Kluyveromyces lactis: one gene and its partners. The protein of the gene in region 2 interacts with the protein of the main gene of each other region in a pairwise test. Links are inferred from orthologs where the notes say so. Each region holds a gene or a part of one and is shown on either strand. Other genes may lie near its edges. The genes, in order: SSN8, PHO85 and KLLA0_C08305g.

What was found.
Region 1: the proteins of PHO85 (region 2) and SSN8 interact in a two-hybrid assay, tested with the Saccharomyces cerevisiae proteins (2 studies listed by BioGRID). The link is inferred for Kluyveromyces lactis from reciprocal best matches to the Saccharomyces cerevisiae genes PHO85 and SSN8.
Region 3: the proteins of PHO85 (region 2) and KLLA0_C08305g interact in binary tests that used the Saccharomyces cerevisiae proteins (3 or more experiments, as listed by UniProt). The link is inferred for Kluyveromyces lactis from reciprocal best matches to the Saccharomyces cerevisiae genes PHO85 and PCL6.

What each region holds. Positions count from the first base shown.
Region 1 is NC_006041.1:737,298-739,619, reverse strand, and holds SSN8 (cyclin-dependent protein serine/threonine kinase regulator SSN8), read left to right. Parts: upstream 1-894; coding exon 895-1,809; downstream 1,810-2,322. UniProt on the Saccharomyces cerevisiae protein: Component of the SRB8-11 complex. The SRB8-11 complex is a regulatory module of the Mediator complex which is itself involved in regulation of basal and activated RNA polymerase II-dependent transcription.
Region 2 is NC_006040.1:1,022,221-1,025,040, reverse strand, and holds PHO85 (cyclin-dependent serine/threonine-protein kinase PHO85), read left to right. Parts: upstream 1-1,096; coding exon 1,097-1,113; intron 1,114-1,248; coding exon 1,249-2,146; downstream 2,147-2,820. Other genes in the region: TRM44 (tRNA (uracil) methyltransferase), read right to left, coding at 1-451; KLLA0_D11968g (uncharacterized protein), read right to left, coding at 2,259-2,820.
Region 3 is NC_006039.1:728,446-731,259, reverse strand, and holds KLLA0_C08305g (PHO85 cyclin family protein), read left to right. Parts: upstream 1-1,034; coding exon 1,035-2,264; downstream 2,265-2,814. Other genes in the region: PET117 (Pet117p), read left to right, coding at 65-376. UniProt on the Saccharomyces cerevisiae protein: Cyclin partner of the cyclin-dependent kinase (CDK) PHO85. Together with cyclin PCL7, controls glycogen phosphorylase and glycogen synthase activities in response to nutrient availablility.

The DNA of each region.
Region 1 (2,322 bases), on a different chromosome or scaffold from region 2:
TGAGTATAATCCAAGGCAATAAATGATACAATAATAAATAATCAGGGCAGCTTGGCATATTTGACTATGCGTAAGTATCGAAAAGTTCAAAATAAATTTGAAACGAATCCACTTCAAGCTGTTTGATGATTGAAAAAAGGATGGAGAGTTTCGTGAGCCGAGAAAGTAAGCTCCATTGGGTTACCCAAGCTACCTCCTCCCTAATCACCCCTGTAAACAGAAGTAACAAAAAAAGAGATAAAAACGCTCGGGCAATCGTCATAACTTTCGTTTAAAGTAAAGAAATACTTCAGTACCCAAGACACAGAGGCTTCTAAAACAGCCTCTGGATAGAAACCGTGACAGAAAACCAACACGATTAATGAGTTGATTTAAACATTTGAAAAGTTTTTAAATCTCATTACGTTTCCGCTTACGGACTGGTCGGAGACTTTCTACCCAAAGCTATAGAAATGATATCATTTCAATTGAACAGATAAAATCCGTTCCTTATGTAAGCTTCGATCAGTGACGATTCTTCGACTACAAAACCCTCGACTTACGAAACAAACAACAACAAAAGACAACACTAGAAAACATTTAATTAAAAGTAAGTGTTTGAAGTGCTGATGTTTGGTTCATATAGTTGAATGTTTAACTTTTTTCCAAAAAATTTTCAAAAAGGTTACCCGACTTCTTAACGACCTGAAATTTAGGGCTGCAACGGTCAGCTTATCATAATGTACTTGATGATGAATTGAAGAATAGCGAACGGTAAGGTAGTAAGAACCGAATCGGGTTAGGTACTTTGAACAAAGGATTCCGACAACAAAAGGCAGTACAAATTTCACTGGAGGATAAAAAATACCTTTCCCCCCCTTATTCATTGAACAGCTAGAAGATTATCTTTCCAAAATGAGCGCCTCATACTGGGATTCGAGTCAGAGGCACAAGTGGAAGTATACTAGGGAATCCTTGGCTAAGGAGAAGCAGAAACTCTGGCTGTTGGAATGCCAATTATTCCCACAAGGTTTGAATGTTACGATTCACGATTCGAAGGCGAACAAGCAGGTGACGACAAACATTCCGGTTACACAGCGAGATCTGCATTATGATCGAGACTACAATTTGAGGATATACTGCTATTTCCTTATAATGAAGTTGGGCAGGAGGCTCAATATACGGCAGTGTGCACTTGTTACAGCACATGTTTATTTGAGCCGATTTTTGCTTCGAGCTAGTGTCAGGGAAGTGAACCTGTATCTTTTAATCACCACCTGCATCTATTTGGCTTGCAAAGTGGAAGAATGTCCGCAGCATATAAGAACGCTAGTCAACGAGGCGAGGTCTCTATGGCCAGAGTTTATTCCACCGGATGTGACAAAAGTGACCGAGTTTGAGTTTTATTTAATCGAGGAATTGCAATCATATTTGATTGTACACCATCCGTACCGGTCTCTAGAACAGATCGAGAAGGCATTATCATCCGAAAAGTACAACTATAAACTCTCAGACGATGAGCTTCAGAAAATATGGTCGTTGATTAACGATAGTTATACGACCGATGTCCATTTACTCTATTCACCGCACGTGATCGCCATAAGTTGTCTATTTGCAGTGTCTTGCATCATTCACAAGCCAGAGGACAGTACAAAGCGTGCTAACATCAACATGTTCATCGCTGAAACTCAAGTTAATTTGGAACAAGTGATGTTTATCCTTCAAGAACTCATATCACTATACGACCATTGGGACAAATACAATGAACTGCGGATCAGAGCGCTCCTACACGAGTTATACCTCCGTCAACAAACACCAGCAATTCAGTGATTCTGAAGCCGAAAAGATTTCGTTCAGTTCACACCTGTACATACATAACAAATTACGTAGCATTCAAGATCAACCACGCATCAAGGATATATCGCATAAGAACGAAATGAAATTATATTGGACAACTCACGGAAGAATCACAGAAATGCAGACACTGAGAAATATACACATTGTACGCACAAAAAAAATTTAGTTCGCAATCACAGTCAACTAGAGGACAAGTAGAAGCCTCACTCCAAGAGCTGCATTTGCAACTTCTATTTCTCTTTAACACCAAAAATATCTTTGGCGAAGCGATATCTGCCAAATAATCTAGAGCTATTCATGCGCAGAAAAGAAAAAAAAAAGTGAACGAACGGCAATATGATTTCGAGAGTTAAACATGAAACTCGAAATCAAATCTTAACTAACAATGTTAACGTGTATTTATAAAGAGTAGAAGTAGGAAAAGTGGAAGCACAAGTTCAAAAGAAAGCGAGTCCAAAAGTTTAGTGAAGCAGAAGCAGAGTGTCT
Region 2 (2,820 bases):
TGTAAATTACTAAAGAGGTTGAAGCATCTGAGTTGGAATTCATAACCAAACACGTCTGATTAATGATAGCATCCTTGAATGGATTCCTCGGAACAATCCTCCTAACAAATTGGAACTTTGTGGTAACATCAGCCAACGCTATCGGTACAGATCTCGGTGCTAGATCATCGATGTTTACTTTCAATATACCCTCATCGCTTCCCAACGCGATGTCTTTCTTCTCTGATTTCACACATGAACCAGACTCTAAGTCGTATTCATTGTCTATAAGCATATCTGCACGTAGAATAACAGTCGAGTTTACATTAGGCTGCCTTATCACATTTAGCATAGCTTGTTCGAAATGTGATTTATCGAAGTCGACAGGTTCCGCTGTCGAATATAAAGATTGCCATTCTGGTCCCAAAATACTGGATTTCTCCACGGTATAATGAAGCGTATTCGAGGTCATATCAAACTTACGTCAACTCTACCTGTGCACAGTCTATATGGTTCTCTATATCCTGGTATTCCATCGAGTTCTTCGAGTCTGCGTTGAAACTGCTTATTAGTTGATGAATCGATGCCCTCTTTAAATTTTTCACTTCGAACGTTACTCATGCTCTAAAGGCACCAGGAATTCGAAGCAACATACAAGATATCTTCCTGCCTTTAGCCATATAACCACTTGGAAGTTGTTCAACATGAATATTATTATTTACTACTGTAAATGAATGGATAAGATTTCCAGGTATTAAAGCGTAATTGTGTATTTACTCCTGTCTAATATTAGAAGATCTTCAAGTAGACTTTTGTCACTGGCATTATAATTAGCAAGTACAGGGGAAAGAAGAGTTTTGAAATGGTACGCATATATAATTAGGTAGTAAACTATCTGAGATGGACGCCACAACTGCCAAACCTCAAATATTTCTGTCCTCTTCTAAGTTACTTCCTTCTGTATCCACTATTTTATTCTAGATAACACCATTCTTAAATATTTGAAGATTTCAATTCCTATTTGAATCATTATCTCTTGAACAGATGTAAAAAGAGGATCCGATAATGGTTATATAGCTCTCAGGACCATTCCAAGGATCATCAATAAACATAAACTATGGTGGCACCATCTCAGTATGCAGTTTTGTGAATATTTGATACTGGCAGCGAGGAGTACAAAGCAGATGAGTACTTCTCCTTACCACTATAACTCTGACTTTTATACTAACGCAGCAATCGTTTGTCCCCTCTACTACGCTATGAAACCAGATTCAAGCAACTTGAAAAGGTTGGTAACGGTACGTATGCTACCGTGTACAAAGGATTGAATAAGACGACTGGTGTATACGTTGCTTTGAAAGAAGTGAAATTGGATAGCGAAGAAGGAACTCCGTCAACGGCCATTAGGGAGATATCGTTGATGAAAGAGTTGAAACATGATAACATCGTGAGGCTATTCGATGTGATTCATACTGAGAATAAGTTGACGTTGGTGTTTGAATTCATGGATAATGACCTTAAGAAGTTCATGGACAATAGAAACAAGGGAAATTCTCATAAGGGCTTAGAGATGGATTTGGTGAAATATTTCCAATGGCAGTTGTTACAAGGTGTAGCGTTTTGCCATGAGAACAGGATCTTGCATCGTGATTTGAAACCTCAGAACTTGTTGATCAATAACAGAGGTCAATTGAAACTTGGTGATTTTGGGTTGGCTCGTGCATTTGGTATCCCAGTTAACACTTTCAGCAGTGAAGTGGTGACTCTTTGGTATAGGGCTCCTGATGTGTTGATGGGGTCAAGAAACTATTGCACTTCAATCGATATTTGGTCATGCGGATGTATCTTGGCTGAAATGATTATGGGGAAACCGTTATTCCCTGGTTCCAACGATGAGGAACAGTTGAAACTCATATTCGATACGATGGGTACTCCAGTGGAGCAGACATGGCCGCAAGTGACTCAATTGGCTAAATACAATCCACTTTTGCCTCCACATATGCCTCGTGATTTGAAACAGCTATTACAAAACAATACGGAGGAAGTGTTGGACGATAATGTAGTGGATCTATTGCATGGTCTATTGCAACTGAACCCAGATGCAAGACTTTCTGCAAAGGATGCCTTGAACCACCCATGGTTTGCAGAATATAACCATGCCAACTAACGATTTTAGATTTAGATAGCCTTGCTCATCTAAAGATACAAACAAACAAATAAATAAATAAATAAGTGTATAGTAATCTGTAACCATTCCTTTTACTTTTTATATTACGGATTTATTGAATTACGTTGATGCTAGGCTGTCCTCCATATTCCATAATAAGTTTCATAACATGTTTGTCCTTAACGTCGACCAAGGTTTCCCATAAGACGTCCTGAGACAATAACAATGGTCTTGTTTCTTCCAACTTGTAGAATTTATTGATGAATTTGTTCAGGACACGTATTCTCCTTCTACTAAACGCCTCTTCGTCAGTATAATCGTCTACTAATAGCAACTCATGTAACTGCTGACCAGCAGGAGTCAAATATATGTTGTTGATTAGTTCGATTAAGGGTCCATTATTATCCAAGGATTTAGAAGGTAACACCGATGAGATGTGAGTTACCAAGATAATGGCATGGAATAAATGGTTGATGTTATATTGACCTTGGTTAGTATGGAAAAACCAATGCATTAAGGTTTCTATGAGGAAATAAGGCTGCTTCACCTCGTAGTGGACGGATAGTTCAAGTATCAACTGGTTGTAAACTGGTTTCTTTAGTTGAATATCGTTTTGGAAAAAAAATTCTACCTCCGAGTAAAATATTGATGGATAATCCTGTTTCTGCAATTCC
Region 3 (2,814 bases), on a different chromosome or scaffold from region 2:
TCAAATTAACGAGGAAAGAAAGAAAACAAAGGAGGAAATAATCGCATATCATATATCAGACATCATGTCTCGTGCTAGTAAGATCACTCTTGGATTAACTACTTTGTTCACAGCGACGATAGTCGTAGGTGTTCATCACGTACAAGAACTTGAAAGACAGACTTTACATCAGGGACCAATCAAAGATGCGCAAAGAGTAGCAGAGAAAAAACTAGCCAGACAGAATGGCGTAGACCCTGAAAAGGAACGTCAAAGAATGGTAAATAAGAACGAACATGAGTATCAACTCGAATTAAGAAAGAAATACGAACAGATGCAACCTTTGAGCGGGGAGGTTCGAACTAAGGATAACGAACTCATAGAACAGAAGAAGTGATATGTCAACACGAACATGTTGTATATACCATTAACCGTTTCTTGTAAATATGCATATGTAGCGACCCTCAAAACACTATATTATTAGTATTGACCTTATAGGACAACATATTGTGCACGTGATGTTGGTATGTTTTGTATGGGAACTTCTGAAACCGAAAACTACCAAAAATAAAAAAAAAAATAAAAGAGACAGAAGAATATTAGGGACTGCAACAACGTGTAGAAACAAGGCGAGTTACATAAGACGACAGAGCAAAGTGTTATTCGTGCTGTGGTCCATTATTATTACAGTTTTGAAAAGACATCTTGGGAAATTGATACTTAGTGGGAGGCACAACAATTACACAGGATACGATTGTTTTTTTTCCTCTATTTTTCCTCTTTTTTTTTGCGAAACGATTATTTGTTTAGTTGAATAAGGACAAGGGTTTATCTGCAATTTGAAATAAGGAACAGGTACCATTTTCTCAAAAGAAATAGTTTTCAGGGACCTCAGAGTGGAATCTGGCAAGGGCTCAAGAACTCAATAACGAATAAGTCAAACTAACGGTTTACACGCGGCACATTCTGATTTATATCATTCATAGGGATCTTGAAATCAGGTAGCATTGCATGTATCCCACCCCCCCTTCCTTGGATAAATAACATCCAATAATATGTCATACCTGCGTAACACAACTTCATCAAGTTATGCAGAAACGGAGCCTATAGAGATACCAGTTAACAGGACTGAAACGGAACCGTATTCCTCCTCGCTGCAGGGCTCTCAGGTAAATTCGGAGGCAATCACAACATCTACACGACTTATAGACTCATCAAGTTCAAGCATTGACAAATATGGATCTGGTGGACTGACCCCTCAAGATATGAATCATGGTGTTACGAGTTCCTACTTTGATAGCAATTATAACAATAACATCGCGAGCAATAATCATACGGATACCAACTTTAACAAACATGCTGGAATAAGCTCATCATTTATTGACAATACTAGCGGTGTAAGCAGTTCGTTGGACTCAGGGTCTAACCTTCGACATTCAAATTTATCCGGTAATTTTCTTCCCAATGATACTCAATCAAATTCAAATGTACTGATACCTGTTAAGGCTGTATCAGAGTTAAGGATAGACGATGAACAGACAGGAAGTTCATCTACTTCCCAGCCAGACCATCATTCCAATGATGAAACACAACATTCCCTTAATAATAACAATCATCATATGGATATTGCGACATTTCCTACTTATAAATTGTTAGATATGCTTACGGGACTTCTTACGAAGATAATCAAATCAAACGACTCGCTTGGATCCACTCCAAATTTCGAAACATCTCAGGGGAAAAACATACCTCTTATGAGAGAAATACTGAGTTTTAGAGGTAAACAAGTACCAGGAATAACATTGAAACAATACTTTCAAAGAATTCAAAAGTATTGTCCGACGACGAACGATGTGTTACTCTCGCTTTTGGTCCATTTTGATAGAATAGCAAAAAAATGCAATGCCATTGCACAAGAGTACATGGTATCTGTCGTGTCTACACCGGATAAGACGACGGCTTCGCTAGCACATCAGTCATCTCCACAACTTTTCGTGATGGACTCTCATAACATTCACAGGCTTATCATTGCAGCGATAACGGTAAGCACCAAGTTTATCAGTGACTTTTTCTACAGTAATTCAAGATATGCGAGAGTTGGCGGTATCTCGTTGCAAGAATTGAATCATTTAGAACTCCAGTTTTTGATCCTATGTGATTTTAGATTGATAATCAGTGTGGAAGAGCTACAAAGGTACGCAGATTTGTTGTACAAATTCTGGGACAAGGAAAAGCACTTATATCAATCGGTATCACAACCAACCAATTCATCATTAATTGCATGAGAATAATGCTTAACGTATCGGATTTCCCCATTAATATTGTAGAATTAATAACGTTTGCAGTTAGAATATTGTCTATCTATATGTATAATCATATTGAATCTGATCTTTTGAGTTTTAAGGTAAAAAAAAAAAAAAAGAAAGTGGCTATAACGTGTGTCAGCAATATGCCGTTAAATTTCGCTACACGACATTGCACCTCTCCTCAGTATTTTTTTTTTGATCTGAAGGTTACAAAATCTTGACTTTCTTCATAGACTCACTGCAAAAGACGCTTTCTTTACTATTACTGAACGACCACAAAAAGAGCCTAAAAAGTCGAAACGAAGGTTATGGGCTGTCACAAAAAGAAAAAAGACTGCTTGCAGAAGCGAAAGGAAAAAACAAAATGGAACCTTCAGTCGGCAATTCCGGTAGAGCCGGGACGGCATTACCGGCCTAATTTTGCCGGAAAAGAAAATGCTCCAATATCTACGGGAGTATCTGTGTAAATTCATCAGTAATTCAATTAATTTAGCTGAAATACAACTGCTGGTAAAGATCCAAGTCAAAA